Linked DNA regions of Lepisosteus oculatus. The protein of the gene in region 1 interacts with the protein of each later gene in a biochemical or structural test. Links are inferred from orthologs where the notes say so. Each region holds a gene or a part of one and is shown in the gene's direction. Other genes may lie near its edges.

Region 1 (8,672 bases):
TACAGGAGAATGTCTACTCCTAATGAACCTGATGTCAGTGAGCTTGTTAAAGTTAGAAACCTCCCTGTCAATTACAAGAAATGTCTATAAAAGCATAGAATGATACTATAATCTTGAATGTGTTCTGGCAGGTGGAGTTTTGTCTGTAATTTCAGGGCAATGTTTTTCATCACATCTGCACAATGTGATTTTTTTAGATTTTTTTTCGAGGAGGCTATCCATCCCATAGAAAACAAAAGAGTTTAATTCTTGGGAGAAAAATATCCTATGCCAATAAATGAGCTGTTTCTGTGAAATAAAGAGACCTATTTGAAAGTTTAATAAATCACAAATATTGTACTGAGTTTGATTTTAATAGCTCAAATCTAGAATGACAATTAGCTCAGTACTGCAACCCTTGCGCCAATAAGGAGACATGGTGAGGTCTATGCACACGTTCCTCCACAATGTGTACCACTGAGCCAGCTGTCATTTTTCATGCTGCTCCAGTTGCAGTCTGCAGCAACTCGTGTCAAATGGCAGAGTGACAATGAGATGTAGTCAGCAAGAGCTGCAAGATCTCAGCTATCAGCAAGGCCTGCAGCTTGTACACTCCCCTCTTGGCCAACTGTGCGATGCCACATAGGGAAACCACACCCAGCTGTCTCATAAACCAGTAGTGAATGTTCGTCAACAGGTCACAATCCGTGGTCCAAACCACACATCTGTACTGTGTAAGCCAAACAGCTCATCTTACTTCATCCTCATTTTTCCTTTGTTGCCTCTTTGACAAAGGATAGTGATACAAGCAGAGCAGGATTTTGGTGTTCGTATGCCCCAGGCACTTTTGCTCTGAAATGTGCAAAAGGAGGGGTACAGTAAATGCCAATTGAATTACGTTGATTGACATGATGCACTTTAAACTTTTCTAATGCTAAACCTCATGATTGAGCGAGTTGAGCAAGTCGAGCGACCATCCCTTCTATACTTCTAGTTTCTAGAACAGCAGCTAGATAGCATATGATTATTAATTTGGAGCACCTATAGTCGGTCGCAAGCATGTTGTTTCAGCTTGTTTTTCGCTAGTCACTAGGGTCTTCCTCCTTTGTAGGCCCTAGGCACTGTGCCTAATGGGTAATCTGGCACTGGATACACGTGTTTTCAAACCAGACATTTTTGGCATGTCATAAGTGAGTGATAAACATCTAAAAACATTATTGTTTTGTAATTAAAGTGGTAAATTAGGCATTATAGTTAGGGGCACTGGGTTCATGTAAATGAGTTTATCTGACGTTTAAACACAAACGGTACTCCAAAGGGGTCACAACTGGCAAACAAACCCATTTCCACTATGTGCTGACTGGCACATACTACAGCACCTTCCACTCATTTAGGAATAGTTAGGGGGGCAGTTAGTACCCACTGACATAGAGATGCAGAACTGCTTTGCAATTTAGTCCTAAATAAACTCAAAGCTGAAGACTACCCTAAGGAATGGATTGCACAGTGTACAATATGTCACAAAGAGCTAATCAACACCCTACGCAGACGATAGAATCCGGAAGGGAGTGAAACAAACATGGGGGAGAGAGGACTAGGAACGGGGCTGGTAGATGAACTGGGGGGGCGCGTCGACGGTGCACTGGTGCTCGGGGGACGTGGTTCAGGCGAAAGTCCAAGGGGAGTCCGAAGAGTAATCCAGAGTGAGCTGGGTGATCCATCCATGAAAGACACGACAAAAGTTAAAAACCGGAGCGGGATCCGGTGAAGGGACAGGGAAATAGAAAGGGGTAACGGGTCCAGGCGCTCCAGGCCCCGGACCCAGATGGTCAGGACACCGCTGCGAAGCCTATGCTGTTGGGCCACTCCTGGACCTGCTGGTAGGCGGGCTTCCGGGAGTCCATCTTCCAAAGTTGAGCCCAGACTGGTAGGAGCGTCTGGCTTTTAAAGGGAGGAGCTGGAATAGGAGGCAGGTGCAAAAAATCAACAGAAACAAAAAAGAGCCGAAGAGCCCTTAAGAGGAGGGACTTACGATCGTGACACAGTAATCATAGATGGGAAAGCAATCTTCTTTATTTTAACAACATTGTGGAAAATGTTAACTATTTATTTGTAAGAGTAAGGACATGTCATAGGTTTTAAATAAATACTGGCATTTAAAAAAAAATTAGAATCAGCATTGCATCAACTCAATTTAGATTAGCCAAGGGCTTTTCCCATGGATAGGCTTGTAGCTCCTATCCACACAACTGCACACAGGGAAGACTAAGGAAGTGTAGGTAGATACATCCGAGCCATTCGGTTAATGCTTACTGATCAGTGCAAACTGGAGGAGGGGCACATCCATCTGTGCACCCACTTGGGGTATCCTGGTTCAGTCTCCTTCCGACATGACCCGGTCTCAGAGCTCAGTGGCCTTTTCAAAGGCAGAACGAGGGATCCAATACCTAAATATCTTAAGAGACAATACATGTTGTTCTGTTAAATTCTATTAAAAAAAGAAAGCAGTTGTTTAGTATACCCAGAATACCCCAATTATTTAGGATTGTCACTGCAGTCTGGGCAACACCCCACACTCCACTAGTAATCTTAATTGTGCACAATTCCCCAGAGAAGCACTGTCTCCAAGATGACTGAGCTTCACCCCAGCAATATCTGAGCCACAAAAGTCAATCTGCATTCTAAACGGGTCTTTACTGGTTGAGCCGCCAGTGTCATTTAGACCCATACAAGAGATTTATTGGAAAACTTTAATGTAAACTGTTTATCTTCGAATGAAAACGGAGACACTAGGGAAAGATCAGAACAGAAACAGCTTAAAAAAGAACCGGAGTTCCTGGCACTTTATGGAGCAGTTAAGACTAACGTGTCTCTCCGAGACCGGACAGTTTACTGCATGTATAGAAATCGGAGGGTTTTACAAATATTGACGTATTTTCCAGGATTAAGTAAAAATCCAATAAAGTTTTTCCTCTAAACAAACGCCCGGGAATTCCCATTTTGCAACCAGAACTAGTATTACACACATCCCTCGCTGTTGCCATTAGGACCAAAAATGTCAGCTCGTAAATGGAAACGCGTAAGTGACAATTACCATTAAAATAAAATGGGGGTTCAAGTCTTCGATTCATTTCTAGTGCTCCTATCAGAAAACGAACCGACGTGTCTTGGTATTTTCCTGCTGTTTGTATTTTCGAACCATAAACTGCCAAGTACATTACAACGGGAATAATTTACCAACACTTTTTATGCAAGCTGTTATGTTTAATATTAGGAAGCAATTATGTGGAAGGAAGATTTGCATGACCTATATAGCACAAATGAACAATACGATATGAACAAAATAACTGTTAGTTATACCTTGTACAAAGAATAAAACTCTTAATTTTATTATTAAGACATCAAGCTGTCTGGTGATAGACACCGTGCACGCATAGGGGGAATAATCAAAACAAATAATTTAGTTCTATAGCATGTTAGAGTTTGTGAACCGATATTATTTACAAATTATACATTAGAAATATTATCCTACACCATATATGGTATAAGGCATTACAATTTCTGTTAAGAGCAGCCAAGAATAAACATGCTATTCTAAGAATAAGACGTTTAACTCGCACAACAAAAACGGGTCTGTGTACCACTTGTTTTAGCGAGTACTCTAAAGTAAAATAGTTTAACAAGGAATGAGTGCATATATTTCTTGGGATCTTTGCACCGTATGCCTCCCGTCTCCAAGTTTTGGGGTACACCGATCTCGTTCCCATCTGTTGGGCATTTATTTGTCAAGCCAAAACGCGTGATAACCCCTTTCATATTTCTCCTTCTCTCCCAAAAGAAATAATCTTTGCAACCAAAATCTCCGATAATTGCGCACCTTTCGGATCGACGTCGTTTCTGTCAGAGGTTGGGAGACAGGGAGAACTCGATTAAAGAAGGGCCAGACTCAAACTATGAAACCAGACTACGTTAAATCTAATGACTCTTGAAGGATACTGATGTATCGCTTGACTGTTTTTAATAATAATAATAATAATAATAATAATAATAATAATAATAATCATCATCAGAGAGGAATGCAATAGACATCTGATACTAATTGAATCGTTTATTTATTTTATAGGCACGTACATGTATTTTATTAAAACGAATTGCAGCTGCTAGGAGTTTATCGCCCACTAGTGGCTGTATATACATGTCCTGACTATTTTCCACACATCGCTCTTTGAGAGACTTAGGTTAAACATCAAAATTCTTCGTTTTAAAAATAGTAATAAATTATGGGAATAATGAGCTGCGCCGTAAATAATTTATTACAATAGTTTTGCGTTTGTTTTAAAATAAAACAATGGTGCCATGGGATTTTTAATGACCAAGTAGTCAGAAACACTTTAACAACAGTTAGGATTCACGTCTTACAGCTCCCTACTGTTGCCATTTTGTTGAAACTCTCAATAGAGGGATGAGAGAAACCTGCTTGTCCACCAGCACCATTGAAATCCGCAACCTATTTATTCTTAGTTCAGGTGGGTAGTTGCGCCAGCATGCGTAGGCTGCAAAGGAACAAGTAATAGGTTTATTCTATGCTGAAAAGAGAAGTAAGAAAACACGTTTCGGCTGTGGAGCCGAAATTTTCAGATTTGAAAAGCCCATAAAGTGGAATGAATCAGGCCATAAAGTGGAATGAATACATCAGACCCTACATGATTAACTAGTCCAAGACAGAAGATGTAGATGGGCATCATCGTGTTTAGTTGGATTCTGGTCGATTGACTTGATTAAAGTCATCCTGTTGCAAAGTAGATGCAGGTGTTTTGCCGTGTGATTTTTATTCACATTTCGTTTGGAAAAACTGGTGTGCACAAAACATACACCAGCAGTGCCTCGGATAACACACGCTACTGTTTCACAGTCGTATATCGTTTTATTTGGATTGCACAACATGTTTTTAAAGAAAATTTAACTATTTCATTATTTTGACATAAGGAAATAAAGTAAGGATGCCCAAAATCAAAACAAAGCTTAACACGCTGTTAGGCGACACAATTAGTCAGTTCCTGCTGACATTTCTAACTTTTGATTTCATTCTTACAGCAACTGAAAAGGAGGAAAACAACCAAACATGCTGTGTGTTTTGGGGGTCCCGCCTCCACACTGGGTATTGGCGGTCTTGCTTTATACATGGTAGATATGCAGCTAGCATTGGTTGTACTGTACTGCCCGTCACTATGTTACCTGATCTCGAAGTCAGACTGAAACCAATCAGCCCCAATCAGACTTACCTAGGCGTCTGGTCTGTGTTGCTGGGCTGTTGCTGTGCTCGGCTGGCTGGGACTTGATCGCTGCCAGAGCATGAATTACGCCGTACCGGAGTGCAAGTTGTGCTGCTTGCTTGCTAGCTCTCCCCGTGTTTGTGCGTGAATTTGTGGCGAATCTGTTTGTACATGTAGCCTTTTCACATTAATGAGAAGTTGGCGGGGGTGTCAGATTTGAATGCATATGGGTGCGGCGTCCCCTTTTCAGAAAAAAAGGCTTAACAGGATTTGTGTTCAAGCTTGGGGTTGAAAAAAGGAGAAATACTCGTCTTCTGGAGCTGCGCTGAGCGGTGGACATTTTTTCGCCTTTTGTATACTTGCGCTTTGTGGACATTTTGATTTTTTCTTTCTGATTGTCAGGCTTGAACTACTAAAGTTTTTTCAATTAAGGATGTAAGTAATTTTATTTTTTTGTGCTACCCTGCTAACAGGAAGTTACTTCCCCGAAGCAAAAAAAAACCTAAAGTACACGAAAGACAACTTTTGGCGAGAACACTGCACTTGGAGAAGAAGCACAGTCAATGTGATCAGTGTTTTGAGAGCTTTAATGTCATATGAGTGGATGGATGCAGTAGAGGTTTTTAAGCTATCTCGCCTAAGACGATTTGCACCAAAGTAAACAAAACAGTGGATTTAAAACACTTTCGGAGCTGCAATTTCAATGAAAGAAGGTGTCTGGAAACCTGACGTTTAAGGTAACATATGTGTACCGCTGAGTTTGTTTTAATCAAAAACACTTAGAAGATGGGGGGAAAAAACAACAAAGTTTGATCTAGATATCATTTGACCTCGGAAAACTCGGAAAGGGTTAAGGATCATTTTAACCCTGTTTCCGCCCACCCCAGTAATGTCGTTGGCTGGTGTGTGAAATGGTGGTGGTAAACTTGAGCTGGAATCCGCAGCCACTGGAGGTTTTAAAGGGGGCAGACTGGAACAGAGGAGCTATTGTTTAACTCCAGAGACTCTGGACTGAATCTGATGTGACCGCTGTCTGGATGCTTTCCACGGGGGATTTTTAATCATCAGTGTATTTACTGTAAACCCCCTTTGTTTAATACTACTAGTATTACTAGCGCATCCCAAATGTAGTATCAGATGCGTCTCTATAATAAACACGTGAAAGTGAGGTAGATCTTTGGATTTTATTAATTTCTACTAGTATTTTCGTGTTTTTGGAGTCTGTGTAATTAGAAGGGTAATTCTGTATGGTTTTATTTGTCTCGGTTTGCTCGCCTCTATTGGTAGAACGAAACAAAGCCACAGCCACAGGAGCTGTCAGATATATTAATGGGTATATATATAATTTGCATAATACAGTACTGCTGTAATTTTACTCTGTTAAATTACGATTTACGCCGTAAGAGTACGTTTTGAGTAACCCCTTCCTTTCTGGTCTTAATGTTTTGTTGGAGAAATATGCGGAAATTTACAGAGCACCAATGCCATTTAAGTTGGCATCACTTCCTGTGTAGAATAATTTTGCCAGGTAAACCTTGTGTTTTGTTCAGATACGTCTGTCTGATGAGAGCTGAAAGGATTACTTTCGATATTTTCACGTTTTAATAAGATTAGGCTAGGGATTTGGTGTTAACTGTGCGACCTCCTGTATTTGATCTTATGGGATGCAAAGGAGGAAATCTACTGTACGACTCGAGGGGCATAAAAACATCCCATCCGTTGTCTTACTTAAAACGGTAAATAAGAAGGAACTGAAATCGATCAATATGCTTTTGATTGTCGAACTAAATTTAACATAGATAAAAACATTTTATATTGATTGGTTTATAAACCTGATGTTGTTGTTTTTTTTGCTAATCTGATCCTCTGTGGTTTTAGTTTCGTACATTTTTTTAAAATTTCGATTTACCAGCTTTGCGAAATTGTATTGAAAACCTCAGTAAAACTATCTTCCCCCTGTTAATCATGCTGGAACAGGATTTAGTGCGTCAAGACAGGTAGCAACAATAAAAAAAAATACGATGAGCAACCTAGGATGGTGAACCAGTTAGCCATTGGTTATATGGCCAATTTGTTTTGCTTTGGAGCATATTTAAATTTAAAAAAATGATGTAGATGGTTTAAACTAGTGCTAGTTCATTGAATGCAAAAAAGCCGAGTCGTTAAAGATTTACAAAGCCCTGCGGACGCTGTTTTTATTAGAGGACAGTGATTACACTATAGACGTGGATCAAAATGGAAGCTCTTTAACATCTTATTGATGTTTTTTCGCCATTTGGATAAGATCTAGTTATTTTCCTTGGTATGTGCACAGGTATAACCGGCTTCCCTTGAATTTGGTGTAACCTTGCAGCGGAGACGGAAAGAATCTGCTAAACTCGTTGACACAGGTGTTGGTGTGAGTAGTTGGTCTGCCTTTCCTCTTTTCACCGTCACAGGTGGAATATAGGGAACATTAGGCCACGAAATGGTTTCATTATTTTTCTCAGTGTAGATTAGTAATTATAATAGTAATTAGTAATAAAAGAGAAAATAAAAAAACAGTTCTTAATGCATTTATATGTAACGTGACGGTTATTTTTCCAGTATGCTTAAGTCTTCTTAAACTCTTTTTGCATAGTAAAAAAAAAAAGGTCAAATTAATGTTTTGTTTGAGAAGGAGACTCGGTCACTGGGATGATTCTTAAATGAAGACTTGTTCTTGTGGGCACTGCAGTGGTGTAGTGGTTAGAGTTCTATGTCAAAGCTCTTTGGATTAGGGTTGAATTCTGGCCTGGGGCTCTTTCTGTGTGGAGTGTGCATTTTCTTCCCATGTCATTACATGCTGATTAATTTGCATAGTTAAGTAAAGTGTGTGTGTGTGCGCTCTGTGATGGACTGGTGTTGGTGGTGGGGGACTACACACACTCAGTGTCTGCTGCTCCCAGCTGTCAGTCCTGGTCTAGGAATTACCTCCTTCGTTTGCTGTTTTTTTTTTTAACTGGACTCTTGGGTACCCCTAGTGATTTGTGAGATTTGTAATCGGTATAAACCCTGTGCAAGCCAGCAGCCATATCACCCTGTGAAGCCAAGCAGGGTTGAGCCTGGTCAGTACTTGGATGGGAGACCTCCTGGGAAGCTGTGGTTGCTGCTGGAAGTGGTGTTAGTGAGACCAGCGGCCTTTCAACAGCCTCAAAATTGTCCACATGTATGATTGACTTGCACTTGCCCTGCGGTGGACTGGCACCCCGTCTAGGTTGTACCCTGCCTTGTGCTCGTTGTTTTCCAGGTAGGCTCCGGCTTCCCGCGACACTGTAAGGTATAAAGAGGTTTGGTAAATGACATTACATAAACCCTGTGCTAATTGGTGCGTCTCAGGGCAGCGCTCAGGTGTGCAAGACGAAATCTAACCAGTCACGCTCAAGCAGAAAGAAGGAGTGG
Region 2 (7,878 bases), on another chromosome or scaffold:
AGGCCGTCACAGGCAATTTAAATGAAATTAACCACATTACCTTCCTGCTCCAGCAGCACGCACTGTACAAGAGCCTACAAGCTCTTAAAAGCTGAAACGGACCCAACCACTGTGTCAATTAGGAGTTTTATCCGCGCCCCAGAATTAAGCGGGGCTGGGAGCAATGGAGGCTGAATCGGATGTTCTGTGTCTGCTTCAGGACAGAGAGGGCAATGTCAGACAAGCTTATTACACAGGGGAAAGAGATTCCGGTGACAGATTGAACTGCCGGCTGTGTTAGACAGCCCTGTGACAAAGGTGATGGGAGGGCTTCTGTAGCGCTATGTCTGATCACCCAGGGGCACACGTGCTCAAGCTGCACCAGGAGGGGTGCCTTCACTGCGCTCCTCAGAAGTGACCTTAAATATAGTGCGAACCAAATCAGAATTAAAACTGGATGCACACACTGATGCAAGCTACTTTTTTCGGTGATAAAAAGAAGCAATTAAATGCACTTGGGACCCCTCTTCTTTCATCTTGAGCTCCTGATTTTTTTTGCGACTTTCAGTTCAACAAAAGTGCTGGATGCGGCATCACAGCTACCTTTGCAAGGCTTTCCAAAATCCCGGTCATCAACCAACGTCAAGAAAGGCTTAAGATTATAAACCCCTATGCTTTGCATCAGAAGCCAACACTGGAGGTCAAAACAAGGACAAATGATTTGGTTCTTGGGGAAAAAAAAAACAGATGGATATTTAGTCATGCGCAATTATGTACAGTGGTATTTTTTTTTAAAAAGCCTGAGACGCAACAAGTCAAAAACAGGGAATTTACCAAATAGGAGTAAATCCAGATCAACAGAAATAAAATGAACTGCTAAAAAGTGTTAAGCAGTAGATTTGAAAGAAGATGTAAAAGCAGATCCAACTTGTCTTAGTTTTTGTTTTACTTTAAAGAGCATTTCACCCCGAGATGAAAGCCACATTATATGGGTCACTACAGATTCAGCGCTGTAAAAGACCAAATAAAAGGCTTTGCACTTCAAATTCTACATTTCCTATTAAAAAGAACCAAGCCATTTGTGGCAGCTGTGTTCCATCTCATCGACAATAGGCTTCTAGAATGTAGAATGCATTGCATAATAGACAATTCTGTAATCTCTTGCTCTCTGTGGTCAGCAGTTTGAACCAACGGTACTTTCAGACCATTTCATTAGGAAAAAGACTCAATTTATACGAAAAATAAAGGAAGACAGCAGGGAGAAAAAAGAATCTGTGTTTTTTTTAAATCTGATGGATAACTACAAAGAGTTCGACGACTCAAGTTAACCTCTTTCTGGCAATGCACCAGAGTAAAATGACCTTTTTTTGGGAAATTTAAAGAAGAAAATCAAAACCTGTTGAGTCTTTCTTATGAACGGATTAGGTACTTTTCAGATCCTAAAATTCTAAATAAGGAGAGTCAGATTGCATTCAACAGGTCTGATTGCCTTTCATTTGAAGTACAATGCAAATATACAGATATGTTCCCTGTCAAGGTTAGATCTTAAACAAATTCTTGACTGAGTGATGAGCCAATGAAATCCACAATGTATTCCACAGATAGAACAGATACAGGGCTGCCTGGAGGGCTTTAAACAAAGACATTAGGTCACATAGCTTTTCAGTTATGAGCAAATAACAATTTCCAGCATTTCAGCCAATTTCTTCTTATTTTAATAATAATTTACAAGCACAGCATGCCAAAACATTGGATTCTACATATATCACTTTTTGTCAGATAATTCTTCACTCACTCCCCCTGCAGATGATGACAAACATTTCACAATGAGTGCTTTCCTTTTCACTGAGTGTACTTTGTTAGTGTGTGCAATTCTATTGGTCACATAAGGAATCTGACATTTAGTCTAGTTATAAAACAGCATATTTGAAAACAAAAATCTGAAGAACATACAAAGAATGCAGGAATTACAAAACTCTGCCCTTTCCCCTGCTCTCTTCAGAATAGAGTCTATTCGTCCATAAATAAAAAAACAGTCAGATCGACTGGCTTAATTAATCAAGCCATTTCGATTATTTTCACTTCCTCCAAACAGTTGCAGATTTCAAGTTATATTCTACTTGTACGCTTTAGCAGGTGAGGTAACTCGAAATAACCGAGTAACAAAGTGGGAACTGGTGTGTTATGTAACTAGCTGACAGCAGGCTACCCGTGATGAGGAATTGAAGATTATAACCCCTCATGTGTTGGAAAAACTTTGTGAGAATATTATATAGGGAGGAAAACCAGCCTCCTGCGAACATATGGCCTTGCATGTACAGCATACTGTAGATTCCGTCAAGTGAGTGATACGCACGGTTATGACTGACCTCGCAAGCACGGTTTTTATGGGGTTTCTCATAAATCACACTATTTGGTTTTGAAAAGCGACGCCTACACTTGACAATTATCTTACTACTATGTTCTGAATTACTGCAATTAAAACGGCATATAATCACAGTGTGCTAACTGGCATATATGCTAACAGATTCGCTATAACTGCACTGCGCTTTAAATAATTGAGTTACGTATTTCTAACTTACCCATCTAAAACACGTCGCACACCTGTTTCTTCTGACTTGTGCCCGAGATGTAGCGTACTAGGTACACAGAATTGATCATACTGGATCATCATCAGAAATCATAAACTCTTTGCAAATAACGTCTTTAAGCTTCTGTATTGAAATTTATGTGATATCTGTTTTCATCTAGCTAATGGCGAAACTACCTTTCCCTACCGTTTTGACAGGGGATATGCATTATTAACCATAGGGGATAAGCATCAGTCACGCCTCGCAAGTTTAAAACCACGCTCACAGTCGTATTATATCGCAGTACTCTGTACCAGTTTCAAGCGCTTGGAAAACAGCCGACTTTTTCTAACTGCTTCACAGACAAGGTAGCAAACACTATTATGGTTTATTACCTCGTCCTATTTTTTTTTTCAGAACAATTTTTGACACTGTTAAGATGAAAATAGAATTGTCTGTCTTCAACACAAAAGCAAAAGTCAATCCTTCATAGCTTCTCCGTCGCCTTGCACTATTGGCAATAGTCTGCTTCAGGTAGTTCCAGGGAGGTAAACATATCTGGAGCTACTGTACAGTAGATCATGTTTTTTTTTATTTCTATTTCCCTTAATTGTTAAACAGATAACGAAACCACCACCTCCCTGGAGGGTCACCGCAGAATGCAGTTTTAACTTCCTGCCTTTTTTTTGTTTTTGCTCACAGTCAGGATTTATTTTCTTGCTCATTAAATAATTCGCTTTCAACCCGTATTTTGTTACTCACAGATCCGATTGCTGGCAATGATCAACACAAGAAGTTAAATCCCACAAGTTACCGTTTTGTTTTGGGAGGACACAGCAGCAACGCGCGCTCTGATTGGCTGCGTATGGAGGGGTTATGACCTCACTCTGTTTGTCCCGCCCCTCGGTTTTTTTTGCTGATCAATGATTAATTGAGAAGCCGCTAATAACAATCTTTATTTTTTGCTCACACCTGAAGAAGGCTCCACGGCCGAAACGTTGTGTTCTCTTTCTTCTTTTTTTCAGCATGGAATAAACCTATTACTTGTTCCTTTGCAGCCTACGCATGCTGACGCAGCTACCCACCTGAATCTTTATTTCATGTACCACCTTTTGAAATCCGTTGCTTAATTTCAGAGCGGAGATGGCGCATGGTGCCTAAATATCTAAATGTGATCTGACAACGCTTTAAACAATCGGCCATACAAATAAAGTATTTTCCGCTGAATCAAATACAAATAGAGACATCTGACCCATAATTTTCCTCAAAACAAGTGAATGATATCCAAATTGCAAGGACTGTTTCTGAGTTCTGAAACAAAACTGGATTTTTGACAGTACCCGAATAGTTTAAAATAATAATCCTGCTTCAATCCAGGATCAATGATAATGAGAGACTACAAAACATGTATTAAAAATAAGATCAGTGCAAGCCTTTTTATCACACGCAGGAAAATGATGATACGTTATAATCATGTTTCAAAAACCCATTTTGATTAGACGGATTTCCGAAGCCCTTTTATTTCCCTCAAACATCTTTTAGTTTCTGCAGCAGCAGGTGCGGAGCTTCGACAACAGCGACGTGTCGGGAAAGTGACAGCAGCTGCCGCCAATGACAACGCGAGAAGCGGCCGAGCGCGTCGGAGTGACAGCACAGATCAGCCAATAGAGGGCGATATCAGGGTCTTGTTCCTCGAAGGCAGGCGGGGGTAAGGGGCGGGCTCTGCTCTTCATGTAGTTTTGGTTTGCTGGCTGTGTCGCGGACTGCGCAGGGGGGGGGTGTGTGTGCTGGTCTGTCAGTTTAGTGTTTTTATATGGGGGTGTTGTAGTGGACGGGGGGGAGAGAAAGGGAATTACACGGTCCTGACTGTTATTCTTCTTGCAACCCCATCAATCTTTTCTATTGGAAGGCTACAATCAGCGTGTTAGGATTCACTAGGACCACTTACCTTTTGGGGATATTTTTTAAGCAGCTGACGGAGGAGGGGGAGGAGGCAGAAAGACACCTGATTAGAGATCAATCTCTATCTGTTACTATCGCAAAAATAAATAAAAGCCGAAGGAAGAGGACCTTTGATTTTGCATTAGATGTCGGCACGCCTGCAATCAATGTAATTATTAAAGCTTGCAGACATTATCAAAGACAAAAAAACTACCTGTAAAGGACCCGCGTGATTTTTTATTTTATTTTTGAAGGCAGTCGCTTAAACTGCATCGAAAAAAACGTGTTTATTCAGGAGCAAGGCTTTAGATTTAATTTCCACTGGATTTATGACATATCCGACACTCTTAAAGTGTCGGATAGTGAGCCAATTTTAGTGAGCCATTGTTTTTCGAACGGGATTGTTAGTTTTCTTTTTTTTTGCTTTAGAAGTTGAGCGAAGTGCACCCGTTTGCGCATTTCCAGATTAGCTCCGGTGGGCTATTTGCTCCAAGGAGTCTTTTCCCGATCCAAGTGGTGAATGCCGAGCAGTGCGCTCGGTTATCGTGTGTGAGGTGTTATTTTTATATAAAAAAAACACCGTGTTTTGGGGCGAAGTGAGCCTGCCAACAAAAAGGGATCCATCTACTGATCCGATTCGAATACACCCCGCCGTCTACGTGCTTGGAAAACTCCGAACCGAGAGAGGAGGTAGGAATATCCCCAAATTTTAAAAATGCAATCGCCTCTTTGTACGGTGATGATATGGGGGGAATGTTCGTATTAAGAATGCGGGGAATTCGAGACCGAAACATGCAGAGTAAAAAATAAACAACCACCTTTTCTTGTTATGTTGACAGTCGAAATGCTTTCCGATTGTCGTGTTTATTTGGAAGGTTTCGGCCAAGGGATGCGGGGACCGATCTGTTGCCCACTTTGGGGGAAATAATATGTTTGTTTTGTAGGTGGTGATGGATACAGTGTATGAAACATGCCGCTGCAGCAGGTCTCATAGCGACTTCTTTTGCTTTCGCTGAGCAGTAGTTTAGTTTTGGAAACGCACTCATGCATAAGGTAAACACAACAGTGGAATGTTAACATTGTTACTAGTAAAACCACCTGCTTGGTAAAAACGAAACTGTGCACTAAAACAGCTGCTGTAAACGTCGTGAGCTGAACCCTAGAATCTTGCCCATTCGTTTCCCGTGAAATGTTTTCTGGAAGAGGCAAATGGCATTTATTTTCTCTTTCCAAAAGCCCTTCTTGAGTGGTTATGAAGATACCTGAGCGGCCCTCGTTATCTGTGCTTGCGGTTGCACGCTTTGCTTGAACCCCAGGGGGTCTGGGGCTTTAGGGAATTGCACTCATAATAATTATTCACAGGGGGTCCGTCCGGTTGTGTTTTGCAGCAAATTTACTTTCTGCTTCAATCTCACTGGTTCTCGTTTCTCTGTAGCGACCTGAAATGCATTTGGTGCAACAATTGGGAATCTGAGGGTGGGACGCTGGTACTGGAATGTCCTGAAAATAAGTTTTTTTAGAAGTTATCAGGGGACAAAAAAGTAAGTTTTCTCAAAGTAACTGAACAGGAGGATCTGAGCCACTTAAGAACCTTCCAGATTTGATGCAATAAACCGTTAGAACAGCGGGTTTTAAAACGCGTAAATGTAACGTTTTGTCATTTACAGAACATAATTGAACCCGTATGATTTGGGTCCCTCGTTACGATTTTGGAACGAAATGTATTTTGTCCTTTAATATCACTTGACTAGATGTGGCTGAACTGTTAAAGGGCTTTGTCTGAAGTTCGACTTCAGTCGTGCTCAGATGCGAGTGTGGATGTTCTACGAAATCGAAATCTCTTTTTACAGTATTTCGCAAGCAGCCAAAATGCTGAAACGCCTTTTTTCCCCCTATCCCAGATTTTATTTGAGAGATTTTAATAAAATGTCGTTAATGCACGATGTGATGGAACCTGGATTTGAAGTTAAAAATCCTTCACTTAATAGTCCCACTCTAAATTTCGAAAGAGGAGCTAATTGCAGGCTCATCGCTTGCTCTGACGGCAGGCAGGGTGTTGAATTCAGATGACATGACTGGTGGGTGAAAAAATAGATACTCTAGAAGGTCAATATAGATAACCATATAGCATGAATGAATAAAAATAGCTATTGAATCCAGTGACACGGTCAAACGCTGAATTCTGCTCCGCCCACGTGTGGATGAACGGTATGATGGTACCCACCACTTCACAAATCTAAATTTTAAAAGCGTAGAAAACAAGACTTTTAAAATAAGGAATACTTTATTGCTTTATATACAGCTCCTTCTGTCTTGCACTTGGAGTCATTATCAGTAATACTATCCAGCGACCTTATGAGGGATCTTGGTGTATTAGTGAGCCAAAGGCAAGACGGTTTTACACGTCCGAGAATACTGAGGTATTTATTTCAGTCTGAGGTTGTGCCTTATGTAACATTTGGCGTTTTTATTTTAGCATGTCAGCTTGTTGAGAAAGGTATTTGTGTTTTTGGTAGTGATAAAATCAAAATCCAAACCTCTTTATTTGCAAGATTAATTGAGGCGTTGCTCTTTAGTTTTCAGCAGTGGTGTATCCACGAAACGCTGACACGCCAACAGTGGCTTAGAACTGCTGGGGCTCTTATTCAGCAGCTATAGTTGGTAACGCTTGCTGAAGAAATGCTGTTTTTCTTTAAGGGCATGTGTGTGGCTCTCATCTCATGTGCAATGAAATATATTTTGGTGCGATTGTTTTGGAAATGGGTGGCATAGTAACCTGCGCTGCTCTAGGGTTCCTGGGTTAAATTCTGGATCATGGAATGTTCCGTGTGGAGTTTGCATGTCCCCCCCCCCCCCACATCAGTGCTCCCTGGGTGCTTCGACTTCTGCTTTTGTTCTGAAGACGTGCAGATCAGGCTAATCGATGTCTCTAAATGTGCAGTTGACTTGTGTGTGTCCATGTCACGTGATCTGTGGTCATTAGATATCCCAGGGCTTTTCTCGAAAAGAGTAGGGGTGTTACCCCAGCATCCTGGCCAAATTTCCCATTGGCCTTTACCAGTGCTGCACACTGGTGGTGGTGGAGCGGATTCCCATTACCTGTAAAGCACTTTGAGTGGAGTGTCCAGAAAAGCGCTATATAAGTGTAAGCAGTTATTATTTTTATTATTATTATTATTTGTCAATTTTGAGTTAGTTGCCGGAGAGACCTGGTACTGTGTACCAATAAAACTTCCGGGCTCATGCCTGAATTTTCCCCTTTCCTTCCTCATCCTCATTTCATTCTTGGTGCTTTGACTGTCGGGCTTGAGCTACAGTAGCAGCAGAGTGGATGAAAAAACTGGAGTCTGTGTGATGGACTCAAAAGGCTGGCTGAACACACGTTGGA
Region 3 (8,792 bases), on another chromosome or scaffold:
ATTTTTTCAGATTTATGTTATTGAAAGCTACAATTAACAGTGTTGTATTGCTTTTTTCCAATGTACCAGTAGCTTTTTAAACTATTTTTAAACAGTTAAAATGTTTTTCAATCAATGAAGCTATATACTTTAAATGATTCAGAAAAAAGGAAAAGAATGCTCTCCCTAAACATTTTTTCTACATAAGAGTTGTGTGTGCAGCATTTATTTTAAATAACTTGCAGAGGAAAAATTACAAAACCACTTTGTGACAATTTGTGATCGCAAGGATTCAGGAGCCAAAATGAAAAAGTTTGAAGAAGGTAATGTAGATGTGAAAAATAACAGATTATTTATTAAAGAAAGGCTGCATATCTTGCTATATTTCTGACCTTCAGCATACATTGTTCTTAGAATAAGTTCCTTGATTCTCAAGCACTGTTGAAGCAGAGAAAATGTTCTGTGCTTTGTATAATATGCAAAGTACAAATCAATTCTTTACACAAATTGCATTGCGTGTAACTGATCTTTTTTCCAGCTTCATTTTCTGTGATGTAAGATATGTAAAATGTGGAATAAAAAAAGGAACCATAAAAAGGGAGGGTAAGTTGTGATATTATGTAACATTTTCAGCAATACATTATCTTATTATTAGAAATATTCCAAATAATAAAAATGACAAGCTGTAAAATTGAATATCGAACTTACCAGAAAATAATATGGTAAATATTAGTCATTTGTAAGAGTTTCTTCTTAAACAGTCAATATTTACATAAAATCACAATTTAAATAGGAAATAATTGCAAAAATCATTTTGCATTATTTTAAAATGTCATATCCCCCTAAAATAAATTGAAAACATTTTGTAAATTCATGTGGTGTCATGTGTTTAAAAATATTGATGAGAACTATAGACTTTAAAGTGAACTTTTAAAGAAATGCTTTGTGCAATGTTAACATAATATTCCTTGTTTAAAATCCTATCCATTTAAAGTATACCGTGTATCCTAGCTTGGTGCCCAAAACTATAGACAATATTCTTAATGTGACCATACTAGTGCTTTGAACATTTTAAAATAACATCCCATGATTTAAATGTGAAATCTTGATCTACAGGTAGCTAGTGAAAAAAATGAAATTACTGTACATGCAGTACATGGAGTCATGTAATGCTAGCTTTAATTATTGGAAACTACATTTTTATACAAGACTAAGCATTCTGGGATGTTATTTGCTTAACTATTACATCAGCTAAAGTTATGTGGAAGCCTTTGCTTTCAATATACTTATATACTAAAAGAGGTTGTTTTGTCATTATTCTTGAGCAGTGTCAAGCAATTTAATCTTCAGGCTTCTGTGATACATTTCATGTTCAGAAGTTATTGAAAGAACAGGCAATGCTCCAAAGCTCTTTGGAACCAAGATTAAGTACAGTAAGTGAGAAAAAGTATCAAGAGAAAAATCAATTAGCAATTAATCAAACCCCCTGAAATTCAACTTTTCTATCTAGAATTAATTAACTTTAAATGTGATCTGGTAATGAATACAGGAATATGAAATGTTGGCAACTAATTATTATTTTCAAATGAAGAGATAAAAACCTGTTTTTAACAACAGTACAGCATGTGTTCTATTGTCATTTTAAAAATATTTCTGCAATGGCAAATGAGGCTTGGGTTTTTTTAGGTACAGTATGTAAGTTCCCTGCTTTTGTCAGCTATTCTGCAAACTTTGCCTTCAGTGGAAAATTAAATCCATAGATTCTGATGATGATTCGCTGTTGGTGACTCGCATGTACTGTACTGTAAGTGCATTAAAGGCTTCTAAAACTCTTGTAACAAGCAAGTGACACAGAAGAATAGAATTAAAAAGGATTAAAAAGTTCCTACGTCATTCATCCTCTCAACTGCCAATTCAATAGCCTTCTTCAGTTTGTGGAGCATATTGCATGTCAGTTTTTTCAACCTAAACAGAAGCTAAGGTGGTACCAAACCTTGAGGACATCTTTCACGGCAACATGAAAACTTCAGCCACTTCAACATAAGAGAGATGTATTTATAAGGAAAACATATCAATAGTAGTAACAATACTCACAATTTTGAATTTATTATTTTAAAATCAGTGCTTTTAGCTTTCTCAGGGAATGTGTGAGACAATATTTTATCATCTATGTATTTTTTAAGGCTTTCTGGTTCTGATTAATTTAAATTCCTGACCCTGACCGAACTGGGCATCTACACTCAGATATGAAGACAGAAAACAAGGACATTGCCCAAACTGAATATACAGACACAGAGAATCCTTTGGCATGACCTGTCAGAGTGTTTTTGACACAACAGGCTACCCTTTTCCTTATTGTAGCACAGTGTCACCATATGCTATTTTTGGAAAGAAAGACAAATTATAATGTTTAAAAAATTAGAATCTACAGTATGTACCTGACCACTTGATTAACATTGTTTTGGGGTTAACGTGAGTTCAGGAACTGCAAATACAGTACATAATCTCTCAAGGCTTCAAATGCAATCTCATCAATATATTTTGCATGAATTTGGTGAAAAGCAGATACATGTTCAAGTTTTTTGTATTTGTTTTTTGTTTTTTGAATTCTAGTTTATTGTACACGGTTAAGCGAAAGTGCTCTCCCTTGTGGTACGTTTGATGTTGTAATAAGTATGAAGGAGGATTTTTATTGATTAAGTCAGTGGTTTACTCTTACTGGTTTGGCGAAGAGGAGTACTTAATCTTTCACCTGATAGTGTGAGCATAAATAGACACCCCTGTTATGTGCAGCTGCAGAACAGACCTTTCTGACTACTCCTGTTGTGAAACAGCCGGCAAGGAGACATCAAGAGTGTGACCTAGCCTTTTTCCATTTCACAGCACTAATATGCATGGAACTGGGTCATTGGTCAGCTTGCCAAGAAAAACCTCAAAGGGAGCAGAGGGCAGGGCATCACTGAGTTGGTAGAATGAGAAACTATAATCATAGCTGTGGGTGGTTTTCAGAAGGCTGCAGTGAAACATGCATCTTTTTATTTAATTAACATGCCACTGGTGCTAAAATAATAAGACAGCATAATCCACAGCCATTTAAATTTGTAATATAAGGAAAACATTGCTGATTCAGATTACTTTCCTAAACCTTGACAACACATTTTTTGAGGTAATCTTTCATTTTTTAAAATCTCTATGGGATTAAATTATGGAACGGGATTACGTCTATGTTATTTTGTCTTAACAGTCAAGCAATTTGTGTTTGTGATCATGTAATTAACACAAATAGTAAGTACAATACAATATACATTTTATTTTTAAATAATTAATTAATAAATAAAATGTATTTATTGTAAATGTATACATTTGATCACATTACAAATAAAATGTTCTTTGTGATCAACCCAGTGATTTAAAATGACCATAAATATGTTGGATCAGAATCTCACTTAGTCAATGGACAACTCAATCCATATCATTATTATAAACAATTGCAAACACAGAGGAAGCAATAATTAATTTTATTCACCTTATTTTAAAGCATCTAGGCAAATGCAAACTATTTGCTAAAGTACTGTACTTTTTCTCGGCTTTTCTTCAGTTTTTAACACAAACCAACCAGACATTATATTATCAAAAATGATTCAATTACAGATCATCCCATATTTGATCTTTTGGTACAACTCATTCCTTACAAGAAGACTGCAGCAAGTTAAAGTACTGTAAATGGTATACTTTCTTCCAAGTAAATGACTGTGGAGCACTCGAAGGGTGTATGTGTTCACCACTGCTCTTCACTTTCTGCACGAATGATTGTGTTGCCAGTGGTTCAAACCAATTTCTAAACACATTTTTTGATGATTCCACCTTACTTTCTCAGATGAATGATAATGATGACTCCAACATATATCAGAACAATATATTGATTCTATAAAAACAGAAGAAATTGTCTCTGGTCTTAAACAGAATGGATATCCTTCCCTGGTCATAAGTTATAATGATTCCATTAAGCAAATTTGATTACATAACAAATAAAACATTGGATACATCCTATTAATATCTGGGAATACAGTATACTATACATAGTTGCAAATCTGTATTGGAAGGTACATGTTGACTTTTTTGTAATAAAGTACAGCAAAGAATTTACTTTCTTTGCAGGTTATGGTTTTGGTTACTATTGGTGCTAGTAGTCATACTCTGTGTTTTTCAGTTTTGTGGTACAAAGTGTCATGCAGAATGGAATAACTGGCTAGTATAATAGTCTTTCTGTGCAACATAAAGCCAAGATGACCAGACTCTTGAGGATGTTAGTAAGGCAGCCATTTGCAGAGCCTTCAAACTGCTTACATTAAGAGTATGTGGAGAAGACCTGTTAGGATCTCCTCTGATCGCTTCCATGTCCTGCATGAAGAATATTAACATACAATATGCCTTCAAACAGATGTTTTAGAGTTCCTCAATGCAGACTTAACAAAATGAAGAATTCCTTTATCCCATATTCAATAAAACTACTCAGTCAACAAATGAGTGTAGGTTAAGGGTTATGGAAGAATGCAATAAGTGGTTATGTGCAAAATGAAGAGTGAATAGACAATTATAGAGGCTTAGGGTGATTGTGGGTGGAGTAAATTTACAGGTACTGTAAGTTGTGAATTCCTATAGAAAGGACTATGGATGGGTTGAATTATTTTATGTAATGTTTATTTGTACTGTTCATACATTTTTATAAGTTTCTCTGTAGAAATAGCTGCTTGGATGCAGAACAAATTTCTGAGAAATCAGAGAAATCATTAATTTTATTTTTTTAGAGTTTAGAAGTCTGTATGTGATTGCACATCACTTTGAGGCAATAACTGCATGAAGTGTGAGACCCATGAGCTTACCAATCTGTTTGTGTAACTGATTCAGATGCTTTATTGCAGGCACTTTGACGTCTTGTTAATTCTGAAGTATTGTGGCTTACATTTTTGTTCAACCATGTAAAATGTATTCTCAATTGGTGTTCAGTCCAGAGATTAGATTGGCCATTTTGCTTGCTTTGCACCATCCAGTAACCTTGACAGACATCAGGGGTGCTGCCGGTTATAATTACAAGGCGCGTTGGTAAACCAATCCGAAAGACGTGGGCGGAGCAAACCAGAACCTGGTCTCAGTGTGAGTCTCGCGTCTTGGAAATGGGTAGGCTGTACTCAGTAGAGTTGTAGCTGGATTACCATGTGCAAAAGAGGGGTTATACAATCTTGCACAAGACATTGGTATAAAAAACAGACAAGGAGCCTTTCCCTTTTGGCCCAGACATTGAGCAAAGTGCTAGGGCACGATGGAACCTCTGCGGAAAGATGAGAAACCTAATCCATCGGCCACAGCTAATCTGTTTTCCAAGGTTTTTTTCTGGTAAGAGGGCGATTAAACTAGAAAGGAAGTAGAACAAATCGTATTTTCTCTTATATTCTGGTTTTCTTTGTTGCCGTAAATCCATACAGAGGCTTTTTTGTTACTGTAACGGAAGTTTCCGTTTTTAGTTTTGGAAGCTGTAGGTTTGGAGCCGGTGGTTTTATCGTGTAATGTACATCAGCTACACTGAAAAGAGACAAAAACCAAATAAGAGCTAAAATGATATAAAAACTGTATGATTAAGAAGTTTACAAAGCTAATTGGTTAAAAAAAACTTAATCGAAATGTATAAGCATCGTCTTAACAGAGGGTTTCCTTAATAATATGCAGTGAGCACGTGACAAGTGACACTGCAGTATTTGGTACGTCTGCACTCACGGCAATATGTATAATATTAAACAAAAACTGGTGTAATGTAAATATTTAATTACAAATATAAATGTAATTACTGTGCCGGTCGTTTCTTTCTTTCTGCTTTTTATGTTGCTTATGTACGTTGGTTGATCCACAGGTTGCTGTGTTGCCATTGAGTTTTAATACTATCTTTTGCAGTGAACCTTACCTTTATAGAATGTAACTTAATAATAACACTGATAACATGAAATAGGTGCTTTTAATAACATTTAATGTCATGTTATTTAAAACCACGAAAACGTGATTTTCGTTAGATGCTTTGAAAACTAAAGAAATAGACATGTATCTCCAGCGTTATAGCGAATATTAGGTTATTTAAAAAATGTGCGTTTAACTAAGCACTGTGGTGTGTTAAATAATAATTCCACATTTAGTGTTACGATGTACCTGTACGTTTGCTTTTCTTTATATCAAAAGTCAATCGTGTGAAGCACTTTTTAAAAGACGTACGCTTCTTCTATAAAACTACTCGAGAATTTACCAGCTGTAATAGGATACACTACCGCGGGAATTTGAAAGCCACTCTGAATGTCATCTCTGTACTTTGGTTTATGAGTTGCAAGTCCATTATACTGATGCAACTTTTAGTAGTTGTAATGTGTTCTTCATGTTTTTCTCACAATAGGCAAAAAAAGCTTGAAATATCCACATCCTGGTTCATGGTTTCTGTATAGTAAGATGCAGTAGCTTGTAAAACCTGAAATGGATCAAACTCCTATGCAATGTGAATTTCTCTGTTCACTATTAGGCGGGGTGGAAGCGTGTTTTGCCTATTTTCTTGTAAAAATATGCAAGTGCACCATATGACTGACAAGCTTTAGAAGACTTTGTTCCATTGTCATAACCAGTATTATTTTAATTTTATCTGCCGATAATAACCAAATAGTATTTGACGGTTTAAGAGAGAACATAATTCCTTGCTTTTGTACAACACTTCTCATCTCAAAGGATCTTCAGGCTAAGATCTCTGAAAGATGGTCCTGGTCAGTGCTGGAACTGGAGCACTTTGAGAATAGAAGCAGTTTGCTGACATTAGTGGTATTAGCAGAAACTAAAACATGACAAAGATAGTGACAGGGGACACTGCTATAGAGGACATTGTCCCAGATAACCTGTCAAATGAAGATCCTGAATACCTGGTTATTAAAGATCTTATGGAATTGTCTGTAAGAGTAGGGATGTTAAATGAAGTGGCTAAATTTCACTCCGGGCTTGTACAATTTAGCCTCCCTAAATTTCTCACTAAATTCAGTTGTTGAATTTATTTCTGATTTCCCCACCTGATTAGCTGTGTATTGGGTCTGTAGTAGTAGTAGTAGTAGTAGTAGTAGTAGTAGTATTAACATCACTTTACAATTTTTTGCATTAGGAATGATCTTTTCGCATACCCCAGTTTGGTCTCCATGAGACACACAGACAGGGAGAGAGCCTGGGGTCAGAGCGCAGGGTCTGCCAGTGTACGGCACCCCTGGAGCAGCTGGGGTTAAGGGCCTTGCTCAGGAGCCCAACGGAGTAGGATAGTGGCTACATCACATCACATTGTTAGTGGCTGGTAAATTAATCTCTAATTTTCAGAAATGTACAGTACCTTGCCTTTCTTACATGAGTTCCACTCTGTCGGAAGTTGCGGTGTACTGTAAAAACAGATGCATCTGTGTTGTATCTTGTTTTACTACAAACCTGTAATTCCAATTTTGTAGTACTTGTTAGTAGTTTGTTGAAGGTTGTGACTCTTCAGTTATACATGATTTAGGATTTGATGACCCTGCTTTGCTAGCCAGTGAAACAGGAAAAATAAACTGTTGAGTGGACACACGACTTTGTCATATACAGTATTAGGGAATCCATTGTCCCATTATCTTCTCTCATTCTGTATTTTTCATATTGGAGCATGATTAGAGCACTATTTTAGGAGTTACAAAAGATAATTTTCACATTTTAAGTGAAACTAGTGACTTTGGAATTGAATGTCTTTTATTTTGAGACATGGCTTTGTTTTAATTTGTCTAAATTATAGTTATATAACTGGTGGCATAACCAAGTGAAGACAAACTCCTGCTTTTATGTTTACATGTGGTATACTGTAACTATATTGGCTGTATAAATGCAGCTGACACTGTAGAAGAGACGTAGCCCTGCCTCCTCCTTGTTTCCTCTCTTCACATTTCTGTTAGTACAAACATGTGCAAGGAGCTCATGTATGATCCATCTACTGGTATAAAAGGGCAAATGTTAATGTGTAAAAACTCTGTGTAAAGATTATGTACATTACAAAGGAGAAAAACATGACAGGTCTAATTTTTCTCTTGACTTAGTAGTTTGGCTTGAAATGTGATTAGGAAGAAATAGCAGAACCAAAAACTTTGTTATACCTTCCTCTGCACACAATTAAAACCAAACCAAGAGCAAGATCTAGTAATAAACATAAAGGTGATATGGTATGAACCTTGTTTGTGTAGATAAGCAGAGTGCAGTAATCCCTCATTATACTATCTTAATTTGTTCCTCAAAAACGGCTTGTAAGGTGAAAAGTCATGTAATGGAAATTCCCATTACTTCCTTTGTTATCGTCTCTAATTGATAGTAGAACTCAAAAAAAGTTTCCCTTAAATACCCTAACTTCACCTTAAAGCACAGAATGGTACTTGAGAATGGAAACTAACACTCCTGGTTAATTATTTGACTAACTATGCTTGATGTAATTTATAATTTATCATTTACAATACAGTACTAACATTGTTACATTGTTCATGTTCAGCAAATGCATAAACATCCTGAACTATATGTGCCTAACATACACTAGCCTTTATTATAAAATAGTTTTAATATAATAAATAATAAAAAGTTAATTCCTCATCTGAGAAGATGACAGAGAAAAAGTATCCTTTATTTCTTCTCTAGCCTGTAAGAGTGAACATTTGCTTGTTAAATGAAAAGACAGGTAAGAATTGCTCCATTTGTATGAAATAAAAATTTGTTGAGCGAGAGATTACTGTATACTTCTG

The links.
Region 2: the proteins of erbin (region 1) and arvcfb interact in a test that uses a peptide from one of them, tested with the Homo sapiens proteins (3 studies listed by BioGRID and IntAct, with this or other methods). The link is inferred for Lepisosteus oculatus from reciprocal best matches to the Homo sapiens genes ERBIN and ARVCF.
Region 3: the proteins of erbin (region 1) and abcc4 interact in a test that uses a peptide from one of them, tested with the Homo sapiens proteins (2 studies listed by BioGRID and IntAct). The link is inferred for Lepisosteus oculatus from reciprocal best matches to the Homo sapiens genes ERBIN and ABCC4.

The regions. Positions count from the first base shown.
Region 1 is NC_090698.1:27,932,954-27,941,625, forward strand, and holds the start of erbin (erbin), read left to right. Parts: upstream 1-5,388; 5' UTR 5,389-5,687; exon of another isoform or gene 5,688-5,989; intron 5,990-6,748; exon of another isoform or gene 6,749-6,988; intron 6,989-7,628; exon of another isoform or gene 7,629-7,650; intron 7,651-8,672. UniProt on the Homo sapiens protein: Acts as an adapter for the receptor ERBB2, in epithelia. By binding the unphosphorylated 'Tyr-1248' of receptor ERBB2, it may contribute to stabilize this unphosphorylated state.
Region 2 is NC_090717.1:2,959,622-2,967,499, reverse strand, and holds the start of arvcfb (ARVCF delta catenin family member b), read left to right. Parts: upstream 1-4,345; 5' UTR 4,346-5,180; intron 5,181-7,878. UniProt on the Homo sapiens protein: Contributes to the regulation of alternative splicing of pre-mRNAs.
Region 3 is NC_090710.1:7,172,783-7,181,574, forward strand, and holds the start of abcc4 (ATP-binding cassette sub-family C member 4), read left to right. Parts: upstream 1-5,259; 5' UTR 5,260-5,299; coding exon 5,300-5,373; intron 5,374-8,792. UniProt on the Homo sapiens protein: ATP-dependent transporter of the ATP-binding cassette (ABC) family that actively extrudes physiological compounds and xenobiotics from cells.